Linked DNA regions of Coturnix japonica. The protein of the gene in region 1 purifies or fractionates together with the protein of each later gene. This does not show direct contact. Links are inferred from orthologs where the notes say so. Each region holds a gene or a part of one and is shown in the gene's direction. Other genes may lie near its edges.

Region 1 (6,556 bases):
TGTCAGCTGAAGAGATTGAATATATTCAAGTAAGTCTCAGTAACTGTTGTGTGTTCTCTTATTTACCCAACCTTCTTTGTAGTTCTGCAGGTCCTTAAAAGTTGCACATGAGATAATAGATTGTAATTTTTGTTAAGAAGAGCTTTTGCAGTGTTGATACGCAGTACCAAAACAACAAATCCTTGATGAAGGAGGTTCACAGCTCTTACTAATTAGTAGCTTGTGTTGTCACTGTAGGATCCATATTTAAAGCAAAGGTAGAAAGGCAGTGATAGGTAGAGCCTACACTAAGCATATTCCCTTCTTGTTTTATAACCATTGTTTAGTGCATAATTTGAATATGGGAGCACAGAATGCTGTTCATGCTCTTGCCAGGTGACTGAAGTACAAAATTCATAAAAACTAGTTTGGAAACTGTTATGTAATAGGAAGTTAATTTTTGCACTTCTAACAGTTGGGAGCATTTTAGTTAAGCTTGATGCAAGTATTGCCTAAAATATTTGCAATTGCTGCATAACATGGGAAAGTCAAGGCAGAACTGCTTTTCTTCTGGAAGAGTTTTCAAATGAAAACATTTTTACTTAAAAAGGGAGAGTGCACAGAATTTGAAGAGCTAGACAGTAGCTTTCTTAAATGAGGACACTTAAAGGGTATAATGGTACTAGCGGAAATCTATATTTCAGCGTGCAAGTGGGTGACTATTTAAATTCAAAATAAAACAATCACTTTCCTGTAGTTACATACTTCTTTACCTCTGTTTTTGGTTTGTTGTTTGTTTGTTTTTAACCACAAGGCAAGTTGTTAAATAACTTTGTCAAAATAGTGAATTTCTGATTTCTCATAAAGATTATAGTGGGTTTCTTGGGCTTTGCTTTTACTTTGCCCCTTGGAATTTGGGCAGTAAAAAAAAAATCCAAAGCTACTACTACGGCTGTTTGTCTCATCTTTCCAGAGTCACTAAGTGTCATGTTTCTTCCAACTGAGAGGATAGGGAGCAGCTGCAAATATAGGTTGCAGAGGTTTTTATATTGTTTATATTATTCCATCAGGCACAATAAGCTATTAATGACAGGCAATGATTTTTCTGACATGTAGCATGTTCCATTACAGATTAAAAATCAAAGCGTAAAAATGAAGTTAAATCTAGGACTTGTTTATTAATCTATAACTGCAAAAGAAGACTGGATATCAATTTCCCTTTCTTTTAGAGGAAAATAGTTAACTCTGTCTATTTTTTGCTTTACAGCGTGGAGGTCCAGAATAAGTACGGAAGATATTTGCCACCAACAGATATCACCACTGTTGAAGAAAGAAGTATTGTGTTCATCATAAAAGCTTTTCCTTAATATTATAAATAATGGTATACTGATAGCTTTAATAAAAACCCTATGTGAAGGTGTAAAGGTTGACACAGCACTATTAATTGGTGATGAGAGATTTTCTGTTGATGACTAATAGCAAATGATGGCTACATCATTAGAGTATTTTTCTAACTAGCCATTCTATGAATTTGGCAGTAGAACAAATTGAGTTGCTTTATTTTCCTTGTTAACAGGTCTTTTCATGGCTGATTTCATGGGCAAGATAGACACACTCAGAGACTCCAGAATGGCTTGATTTGGATGGAACCTTAAAAACCATCTATTTCCAGCCCCATGCTGAGGGCAGGGCTGACACCCATTAGATTAGGCTGCCCATGGCTCCAGCTAGTCTGGCCTTGAATACATCCAGGGATGGGGGCATTTACACCTTCTTCAGACAAACTCTTCCAGTTCTTTGACTCCTTCCAACCCCCAACACGAGTTGATAGTTTTCCCCTACCATCTGATCTGAATATCGCCTCTTTTAGTTTAGAACCATTTCTCTGTGTCCTGTCATCATCAGACTATATAAAAAGTCCTACGATGTCCTGTTTATAATAAGCTGCTTTTAAATAAGTTAATTCTCCTGAAGTTCAGGATCCCCACTCTGCTTTTTGTCAGGCCCCCGTTCCTCATGATCACAGACTCAGCCAGGACATGGTTTAACCTCCTTAATGAGCTCTGTGGGGCAGCTGCCCGCTCCGGAGCTAATCACACACAGCCATCAGGGCACGAGCAGCATCGCACAGCGTGTGCCGGGCCGCAGCCCTCCTAGTACCCGCCTCCGAGCTGACGGCATCAGGCTGCGCGCTCATGGTGCAGGTAGGCGGGTCTGGAGGCGGGCGCCGATAAAGGGCCGTGCTGCTCTTCCGTTGTGCCTCGTTCTCCGGCCTTAGGGCTGTGCTGCTTTTCCCAGCTGGCAGCCATGGATGCGCGGGCTCGTGCTAAGCGCTATGAGAAACTAGACTTCTTAGGGGAGGGACAGGTGAGCGGCCGGTGGGTGCGGTGTGGCCGCCGGGGCCCTCTGAGGGGCGGCTGGGTGCGGGAGGGAGCGTGGCTGGCCGGGCCGATCGCCCTCCCGCTCACCCACCGTAGTGACTCTGGCTCTGGGCTGTGGGCTGCCCTGCCGCCGTGGTCACGCGTCTCTTTCTCTCTCTCCCTTTAGTTTGCTACTGTGTATAAGGCAAAGGACAAGAACACGGGTCAGATCGTTGCTATCAAAAAGGTGAGTGTTGGAACACCCCGCTGTGGTGTCACTGGGAGCCTTGTCCTGCACGGTGCTTCTGTTGAACTGCTGTCGTGTGTAGTGTGTGAGAATTCACAGGATTGGTACATTGGAAAAGAAGATCATGTAGTCCATGGGTATCCAGCCTTAATGTCCTGTGCTACGCTGGGAGAGGTGGAATTGTGCTGGACTGAAAACAGTGCCTCCATTTTACTTCTGTGGAAACTATAGCAGATAGAGCACACTCTAAGTTACCAAGAACTATTTTTCAGCATAGACACCACCGTTAATTAGACATTTTCACTAGCAATGAGCTAAAGCCTGCGTGCTGTGTTGCCATAAATCTGTATGAGTGGGGATGACTTGCTGTTGCTGTCACCTGAGCTGAAATTCATCACCTGCTCCCTCACTTTGCTCACACTTACTGTTTGATCTCCATAAATGTTCAGCAAGCTTCTATGAATGTTATTAGGTGCCATTTTTCTGCATGGAGAAATTCAGCAACACACTTTTGCTTCCTCTGTGCATCCATGTCAGATGTCGTTTTGTCAGAGTACCCCCCGCTGCCCTTTTGTCAGATAACAACACCATGTAATGGGAAGGTTCAGCCTCTTACTGCCATGCTAGCATCCGCCTCTGACATCATAGACCACTAACATAGGAGGCATTACTTGCAGAGCAGCCCTTGTAAGATATTCAGAATTGTTAATGTATTTTAATGAACTTATTTTAATCTTTTTTTTTTTAATTAAACAACTAAACTGTTGGGGATTGTGACTTGACCTTATATAATATGAGGCACTTATTTTCAGATTAAACTGGGACATCGATCAGAAGCTAAAGATGGTAAGTGTTAAAACAAGTTCATGCTGTATAAGCTGTCTTTGTTTGTTTTGCTTCTGCTGATTGGGTGATTGATTCCTTCCCAACCTAGAGGGACAGAAAAAATAACATCCGAAATACAGCATTCTCATACTGTATGTTTAACTGTGCGTATATGACTGTTTAGGTGGAACCCAATCACAAGTATAGCATGGAATAATGATATTGGCTTGCATACTTTTTTTTCTGAATATAAAAAATATGTCCACATGAAAGCGGACGTTGTCTCTTTTTTTTTTCTAAAGAAGGAATTAAAATAGGCAGAGTATCAACTAAGCCATCAAGATCTTTGCATCTAAATCTTCGCTGGAATCTTATATGTTGAATGAAACCACCATGGAAATAACACTGTTTTTCAGCTCATGCGTAGGCAAAACATCTTGCACAACATAATGCAGTAGTGTTTGCTTGCCAGTAAGCCAAAGGGATGTGTATTTTCCTTCATAATCTATATCTTCTAGTTGTTATTCATACCTTGCCTGCAGCAGTCTATGTATTTGTGACAGTCTGCTTGGCTTTAACAAATACATGAGTGCTGAGGAAAAGGACTGTAATATTAAGTAATCAATGAACAACAGAATAAGAGGTTTCTTTGCTGGAGTTTAACTTGAAATTATTAATTATATTCTGTTTAATTATTTTTTTCAATATAGGAATCAACAGAACAGCGCTGAGAGAAATAAAATTGTTACAGGAACTAAGCCACCCGAATGTTATTGGTGTAAGTACAGTGAATTTTTGCTGCAGAGACTGGCTTCAGAGAAGGTAAAACTGCACTGGGAAAGGGATCTGGAACAAGGGATCTGAAGTAAAAAAGGCTGCGCTTGTACTGGGGAGCTGCCAGCTTGTGGGTTGGCTCCTGAGTCAGCAAGGGTGGAGCTGGCACATTAGCGGCACAGTTTAAACTCTAGTCCTTATTGTTTGCACCTGATAACAAGCTTAAAGTATCCTAGGGTGAGCTACCAGGTGAGTAACCATTGTTGCTGCCCACTGAGAATGGGGAGGTTCAGTGAGTGAGCACAGCCCACACTGCCCATACAGTGCTGTGGATGTGGATCAAGTGGTGATGAATGTAAATGTTGTCAGTCTGTGCTCAGGAGACTAGCTTTCCTCTTGGAAAGTCTCTGGGACTGCAGGCCTAAACATGTTCTCTATCAGAAAGCAGGTTTATTCCAGAAAGATTTTGGCAACCCAGACAGAGGGCCTGCCCAGAAATGTAGCTGTTCTCTGGCTGCAGGGAGTGCCTGAGCCTGCTGCTGCCTGGGGAGGGTGGCAGGGATTCCACCTGTGTGAGGTGTGAGCAGGTGGATTAGGGTTCCTCTTGATGATGAGGTCTAGGCAGTGAGTAGCCCTGTGCCTGTTTGTCTCTGCCAGTAAATTGAAAATGCACATGCAAACTAAAGTAGAATGGAATTTTAGGAAACGGGAATTATGAGAGTGTCATTCATCATAGCACATTTTGTTTTACAGCTGTTAGATGCATTTGGACACAAATCTAATATTAGCTTAGTATTTGATTTTATGGAAACGGACCTTGAGGTAAGTCAAATTAAGATAATTTCAATAAATTTCAATATCTTCAAATACATTTTGAAAATGCATTTTGAAAAATATATTTTCATAGCCTTACTGTTACTGTGTGTTTTTTATTTCTTTTTTAGAAAGTTGTCTCATTCTTTCATTATGTAATTTAAGATCATACCTTTAAAAGAGTTGGAATAGTGAGACAGTATTTTCAATTGAAAATGCCTTTAAAGTACTTTCTGTCAGCACCTTTATCAAGAAACGGATTATGTTTACTATATTAGTTTTCTAGGGCTTCAGTCAGAGCATAGAACCACTGATCATAAGCCAGGATCTCAGAATGCAATTGCTAAGCACAGTAACGTAAAACATGCTCAAGTAAGTGTGATATTATTCAAGTATGCCGAGTAATTATCTGACTAGAAGTCACATACTCCTGAACCCTTCTTTTAAATTTGACAGTGGCGTGTGCTTGCAGGCCTGAATCTTAAGGATGTTTCATTAGCTTGTCTGTTGCCAGTACCTTTTTATTGAATACTTTAGTGCAGATTCTTCATTTTGGAGCACTGCTGAGAAGACGTTTTGGGTGACTGTCGTGTCAAATCTGTACATGCTCACATTATCTGTGCTCTGGAAGAAATTAACCCATTATACATGTATATGTAGCTACAAATTCCAGCTTTATCCTAAAGTATAAACTGACTTTTGAGTTGAATAATTTTGTGTTATAAGTTTTTGTGCTTACCAGTCTACCCATATCAATCTAACACTTGCAGGTTATTATCAAGGATACTAGTATTGTATTAACACAGTCTCACATCAAAGCGTATATGCTGATGACACTTCAAGGGTTAGAGTATTTACATCAACAGTGGATTCTGCACAGGGTAAGCATGCTCTAAATGCCCTTATTCCTATAACAAATATCACTTTTGATTGAATTAGTCTGAAAACTGGCTTTCATTGGTTTAGAATGCATAGGGTTGCTCTAGCAGTTGAGTAGTGGCAATTGCAACACTAGAAATGTTAAGAATTACTGACATCTATTGTGTAGATGCTTATAGGTGTAAATCATTCCATAAGTAGTGCTTTCTATTAATTGCCATGGAAACTACAATACAAAAAGCACAATAGCTCTATATGGCAGGACAAACTCTTAGCTACAAAACAGTGTCAGCACCGTTTTCATCAGCAATGAGCAAGAGCCTACATACCACATTCATAAAAACCTGCTCCAGCAGACATCACCCACTGTCTCTACTGGTGAAACACACCACCCTTCTCTTCACTGTGTTCACATCCAGTGTTTGGCCTCCATAAACATTCAGCAAGTATCAGTGAGAATATTCATTTTCTTTCCACACGGAAGGATTCAGTTCACAGTCTCAAGTGAGACTTTTGGTTAGAATTGTGATCTAGTCGGGCTTAGATGAAGTTAACTTTCTACACAGGAGTTTGCATGATGCTCTGTTTTGAATTTGTAGCTTAAAACAATGGCATTTTTCAATCTGTTGAACTCTGCTTGCGCATTGTCAAGCCTTTTTCCACTCTGCCTCTAACCCAA
Region 2 (6,239 bases), on another chromosome or scaffold:
TATGCTTCAAAAATACAGCATATTTAAACTCCTCAAATACTGTCACACTTTTTGAAAGTAACGTGAATTGAAGTTTTCACTGTATATGTAATTTACATATAAGCTTGCTGGTTACAACTTACCCTAGTATAAGCGATCCAGTTACTTTTGCAATTTTTCCTTGAAAAATGAAAAAGATCATGTCAAACAAACTTGTATGTATCAAGTCAGTATAAATAGATAACGTGTGATTATCAGACAGTAGGAATTTCAGGAACTCTGAATAAGCTTTTTTTCTGTTTTTGTCTGGCTTTTAGAAAATCACAACTTAAATTTAAAATTAAATAAAATCTTGCAGAATTAGAATTTCCTGCTTTCTTAATCAAGGCAACAAAATGTTTCTTACTGCTGTTACTTACTTTGAGTGTTGCTACTCATCAATTACATTTTGTGCTCAGCTGCAAGAATCAACAGGAAAAATTCTGTCTATATCATCAGCATTTGCTTGAACCTCCACACTATGTTAAGGAGTCAACTTTTTCTTCTTGACTGGGTATTCAGTGTACATGAAAATCCCTGCAGAATCTCCCTAAGCAAATAGATTGAGTGGAATTTCTTGAAAAATATAACTTACAGAGCAAAGAGTTGAATAAACACATGCCACTTACAGCACCTTCCCTTTTAAATGTGAGGATTCATGTCAGACTTGAATTATTTGTGCTGGGTGAAGTTCAGCTGATTATCTAGACTTAAGGTTGTAAGTACAGTGCAACTCTATTGCTATGAGTAGCAGCAAACCCAATGGAATGTATCTCACCTATCATGAATAATTGGTTTTCTTCAGCATGAAGGAGGTTTGCCCTAGACCCACTGCCATCAGCTTCTGACTTTAAGAATTGTGGCATGCAGACAAGAAGCAGTTACATGCCAAAGAAATAACTGGCAAAGAAGAAACAAACAAAAAAAATGCAGTGATTCCCATAGAGCAGAAATGGTAAGAAATGTCCTGTCTTTTAGTGCTGGAAAATACACCTTAAAACAAAAATTCTTACAGTTCTATACACAAGGCATTAAAGAAAGCAGAAACTAAGCAGGGATGATCATAGAACTTAAAGAAGAGGAAAAAAAATTCAGTACAGAAGGAGAGAGAAACAAGGTTTGTTCGATTGCTGCTCTGTTACTAACTCTTTATGGATGCAATGCTTTCACTGTGCTAATCATTAAAAAACGACCAAAGATGAAACAGAAGTAATTTAAAATAATTTAATGAGGTTGTATTTTGGTGGGACTTCCATCATCTACATAATCTAGTGTTACTACTGCAATGCAAAGCAAGCCAGAAGCAGACATCCGCTTCAGGAAAATAAAAGCTTTGATCACAAGTTATGTGGAGATTTATGTCTCTTCTTGTCAACTTCATCATGCACAGTGTTACACCCACACAGACCTTTTCTTCTTTTAATAACACCTTTGATTGATACTTACAGAACTGTACTTACTTATATTATTCCAAGATGGGTGGTGTTTGGTGGCTGGGCCAGAAGTTCCTATTTGTCTACAGCAAAATATGCAGTAAGCAGCCACTGACATTCTGTATATTCAGAAAAAGAAAAAAATAAATAAATTGATTTGGCAATTACAACAGAAAACTTGTAGCCATGTTTCCCTTTTTACAGGAAAGGTTGTAAAGCATATTTATGTCATTTTGTGCGTTATAAAGCACTCTAAGTAAAAATTAAAAAGCCTATAAACTCCTGAATTTAGTAGTTTGCATTTTGGTTACAGCAAAAGTTTACAGAAAATCTTCATGCAATTACATATTTGTGCTAATACTGGTAAGTATCCATCTCTGACTACCTGCTCTGCTTTGAGGCAGAGGCATTTTTCTGTGATTCTTTACAGTGATTCTGTGATTCTTTACAGTGAGGGTGACGGAGCACTGGAACAGGCTGCCCAGGGAGGTGGTGGAGTCTCCTTCTCTGGAGATATTCAAGACCCACCTGAACGCCTTCCTGTGTGACATGGTGTAGGGAGCCTGCTTTGGCAGGGGGGTTGGACTCGATGATCTCTAGAGGTCCCTTCCAACCCCTACAATTCTGTGATTCTGTGTGAGGCCTTTTCCAATGTCTTAGTAATCCTCACTTAAACGCATCATGTTCACATGAAGACAGTGCTGAGTACAGCATATGACTTAGTAATTAGCTGTTCATAATTAATTTTATCTTAACACCCAAGTCTTGTATTTTGACTTAGCAGGCTCTAACAACTCATATACATTGTAGGCAAGTCAGATTTGGAAACGTTTGTCTTTTCTTGCTGACATACCCTGTAACATCACAGTTAATAAGGGATGTATTTTAGCATCTACAGATTGAGGTTCAATGAATGTACAGTTGTAGTGTTAAGCAATGAGGCATTTCAGGCCATGTGAAAGCACCGATTACTGTATGCACCAACTTTCTGCCCTGTCTCCTTTCAGCACTGCACTTATCCACTGACTTCATTTATTACATTTCTGATAAGCACGCTCTCCCTGCGGTCGCCTCCGCACAACTGGGGCAATGCCAGCGGCCAGCCCCACGCCAGGAGGGGCTTCAAGGCTGAGGTTTGACAAACACAATCATCGGACCACGGACAGACCCCATCCCTGGCCCCTCCTACTGCCCCGCCGCCATCCCCCTCTCTCCACAGCGCTACCCGTACCTTCCGCTTCCTATCTCCCTTCGCAGCCGGCACCGTCGCTCACGCACTCAACGTCATCACGCCGCACAGTGTCAGGAGGGCAATAGGAGGAGCGAGGGCTGCACTTGCGTAGTACGTGTATGTGGGGGCAGTGGTTGGGCTTGCTGGGCCGGAGCTACTCGTTCGCCGTCCTCGGTTTAACCTAGGGACGGGTTGGAGCCTGTCTGCCTTCGCCCCGGCCGCCTTTCGCAAGGCCACGGTTCGCACACGGCAACGGGAGGCTGGGCTGCTGTCGGAGGAGTGGGTGGGGGGATGGGGCATAGCCGCTCTGGGTGCTGGCGGGGCGAGGGGGGTCCTGGGTCGCTGAGTTCAACTAAAGCGTTTCTTTGTCTTACAGGTTTCATCTGCTGTTATCTGTAACCTCAAACAGGAGTCTTTGCTGCCACCCGCACCTTGCAGCGTTTGTGAGAGCTGCGAGGATGGTGAATGTTCTGAAGGGCGTCCTGATTGAATGGTTAGTGACAGCATCAGCATCTACTCAACTGTTTCTTTAGGACTGGAAATACTTTAGGTGCTTTTAAGAGTCTAGACCCAAAAATGTATTTGCTGTAAACTTCAGCCTGGAGAAGAGAAGGCTGCGGGGTGACTTTATTGCAGCCTTTCAATAACTGAAGGGAACCTACACCCAGGAGGGGAGTAAACTCTTCGAAAGGGCTGACAATAGCAGGACACGGGGCAATAGATCCAAGTTGAAGGAGGAAAGATTTAGGTTGGATGTTAGGGGGAAGTTCTTCACTAGGAGAGTGGTTACGCCCTAGAACAGGCTGCCCAGGGAGGTTGTGGATGCCCCGTCCTTGGAGGTGTTCAAGACCAGGTTGGACGGGGCCCTGGGCAACCTGATCTAGTAAATGTGTATGTTTGGTGGCCCTGCCAGGCAGGGGGGTTGGAACTACATGATCCTTGAGGTCCCTTCCAACCCGGGTCATTCTGTGATTCTGTGACACTGAGCAAACAGACAGATGAAAGGCATGGTTTTTAAGGGAAGAAGGAGAGAGACAGTTGTGGGTAATCTTAATTCCTGACTCATATTTTCAGATATGTTGTTTTCTGCTTAGACTTAACCATCATGTATTCATCTTGTTTGTTATATTGTAAATAATGTTAATTAGTTTTCATCCTGGGTGATGTGTTCTGATTCTAAAGGGAAATTTGTCCATGCTTCGTCTTTTGTTTTCTTTTTTTATCAATTCCAGTTCGCACACTCAAGGCTGGCTACTCTAAAATGAATATGCTCATAATTTCAGACAGTAAGCTGTTCATATCCGTGCAGTCCATTTGTTTCTATACAGTCTGAAGTCCCTAGACTAAGGTTCTGATAAGAATTACCTCCAGGTTAAAGAAAGTGTCACTCAAGGTTTGTGGAGTCATTATATATCATTACATTATGTACAGGATTTCTGCTGTATGTTTAAATTGTAAACATATTAACAGACTGTAACTGCATGAGTGCAGAACATCCTTCATGGTGCATACAGCTGTCTGCCTACTGTGGTTTACTTCTGAGCTGACTGGACATTAGCCAGCTCACATCTGAATGCCTCATAGTTTGGTATGAGCAGCTTGGAGCATGAATTCCACTATCACAAAAAGTTTCTCTGCTCCAATTTGGCTGCGTGCTACTATGCTGATAAACCTGAACGCAAGAAATGGCCTTCCTGCATTTTCTCAAGACACCCAAAGCAGAGTTGTTGACTAGCAAAACAAGAAATTCTAATATCTCAAGCAGACAGTACAGCCTTGTAGTTTTTTTGTAATTTATTTTACTTGCTCTGGAAGATTTGTGTGTTCCTGTACAATATTGTGATCATTTCCCATTTAGTATTAGCTTGAAACTTTATTATCCTCCCTGGAAGGAAATAGTTTGCCTGACAAGAAGTCTGTAGCATCTGTTATGCCATCAGAGTTTGAACAGCCCCTTGGGTAACTCACTTTTATGTTGGCTTTTCTAGCTGCTGGTTGCTTTCTTGTTTCCTTCTTGCCTTTGCATAATGGTAGCTGATGAGTCCATCCTGAGAGCAGATTACAAACCTGTCCCCTTGTTTACTTTTCAGATACCAATTTTTCACAACTCAGCTTTTCCAGGGCATCTTAGGTAAAAAGTCAGCAAGAAGTTTGGAAAAAATAAATACTTCTGAATGTGTTAAACATTAAAGTAAAACATTAAAATAAAACTATGAAATGCTGATAATATACAGATTTCTTCCTTCCCTCTGTATTATTCCAGTATATAGCTAAACTGTTCTGAGGACAAAATCTCAAGGATTATAATCTTCAAATGCTGAATAAGATCGGTGTTTCTGCTGTAACGTACATCTACTGGCACTGAGTGCACTCCTGTATGTTGATTATGTGAAAATATGTGTGTATTGCCTGACATATGCCTGGGCACACCAGCTTATGCTGTCTGGTACTCATAGTGTGTTGGTAAGGTACATCTGAAAGAAACAAGCAAAAATAAACCTCTGTGCACCCATAAAAAAGAGTGTGTGGAAGAAGACTGAGGACCACCCACTTTTGGTATCATTTTCATTGCTTCTTTGTGTAAACCTTGTCTTTCTTCTAACATTCTTTTGATTGCGAGCAGCTCTTGAAGTTGGTACAATTTTCCTAAGAACTTTGAGAATGTCTTAAAAGGATGCTCTTAATTTTTAGCTGTATCTTATTACAATGAGGTGGAATCTGATGTGTATTTGTCTCTGCAGTGACCCAGCAATGAAGCAGTTTCTGCTCTACTTGGATGAGTCAAATGCTTTGGGAAAGAAGTTCATCATACAAGACCTGGATGAAACTCATGTCTTTGTATTAGCAGAGCTGGTTAACTTCCTTCAGGAGAGAGTGGGCGAGTTAATGGACCAAAACTCTTTTCCTATTACTCAGAAGTAAAAAGATGAGAAATGAGATTGCTGCCAATTCTGAAAAAGCAAATTTCAGTAGTTTGGGTTGTTACTGTTTTAATAGACTGTGGTTAGTAAGTTCTGCATTAAAGTGGCTATTTCAGAAAGTGAGTAATTTTCATAGCCAAAATACTCTTGAACTGAATTTTATTTCTCACTTTGAAATATTATAGTGTCTTTATTAAAATCCATAAAATGATACACTTAAGAACATGCAGAGGGGTCTTTTTGATGCGTGATTTCTGGTTTTCCTTTAGAGTTATCTTGTGAAATGGTATGACCCAGAAATGAGTGATGTTTCTGTATTGGAATCCCTTATGAACCTTTCTGATGTGTTATATTCCTGTGGAATTGATTAAATTTGCTTATAGAGTGACTGATTGAATGTAAAGCAAGTCTGTGCTTGATGGAGCATCCCCATACATTGGAGGCATGGTCAGATGAAATCAAATACTTCTTTAACTTTATGAGTTTTGGATACCAAAATAATAGTTTGGCTTTATTTTTTTGTCACACATGTTACACGTACCTCATAATAATTACCTACTTTTACCAGCATTAACATTTCTGTGTTGTTCTGAGTTTGGGGAGTGGTGGTGAGGATTTAAGGTTTTGACACCGGGT

Evidence for each region.
Region 2: the proteins of CDK7 (region 1) and GTF2H5 purify together in Homo sapiens (affinity purification with mass spectrometry; 7 studies listed by BioGRID and IntAct, with this or other methods). This does not show direct contact. The link is inferred for Coturnix japonica from reciprocal best matches to the Homo sapiens genes CDK7 and GTF2H5.

What each region holds. Positions count from the first base shown.
Region 1 is NC_029547.1:13,175,621-13,182,176, reverse strand, and holds the start of CDK7 (cyclin-dependent kinase 7), read left to right. Parts: upstream 1-2,189; 5' UTR 2,190-2,286; coding exon 2,287-2,346; intron 2,347-2,526; coding exon 2,527-2,586; intron 2,587-3,398; coding exon 3,399-3,432; intron 3,433-4,121; coding exon 4,122-4,189; intron 4,190-4,938; coding exon 4,939-5,007; intron 5,008-5,768; coding exon 5,769-5,879; intron 5,880-6,556. Other genes in the region: MRPS36 (28S ribosomal protein S36, mitochondrial), read left to right, coding at 1-29, 1,247-1,264. UniProt on the Homo sapiens protein: Serine/threonine kinase involved in cell cycle control and in RNA polymerase II-mediated RNA transcription. Cyclin-dependent kinases (CDKs) are activated by the binding to a cyclin and mediate the progression through the cell cycle.
Region 2 is NC_029518.1:46,899,183-46,905,421, forward strand, and holds the start of GTF2H5 (general transcription factor IIH subunit 5), read left to right. Parts: upstream 1-2,693; 5' UTR 2,694-2,793; exon of another isoform or gene 2,794-2,920; intron 2,921-3,058; 5' UTR 3,059-3,140; coding exon 3,141-3,175; intron 3,176-5,423; coding exon 5,424-5,604; 3' UTR 5,605-6,239. Other genes in the region: protein SERAC1, read right to left, coding at 123-159, 1,479-1,569. UniProt on the Homo sapiens protein: Component of the general transcription and DNA repair factor IIH (TFIIH) core complex, which is involved in general and transcription-coupled nucleotide excision repair (NER) of damaged DNA and, when complexed to CAK, in RNA transcription by RNA polymerase II.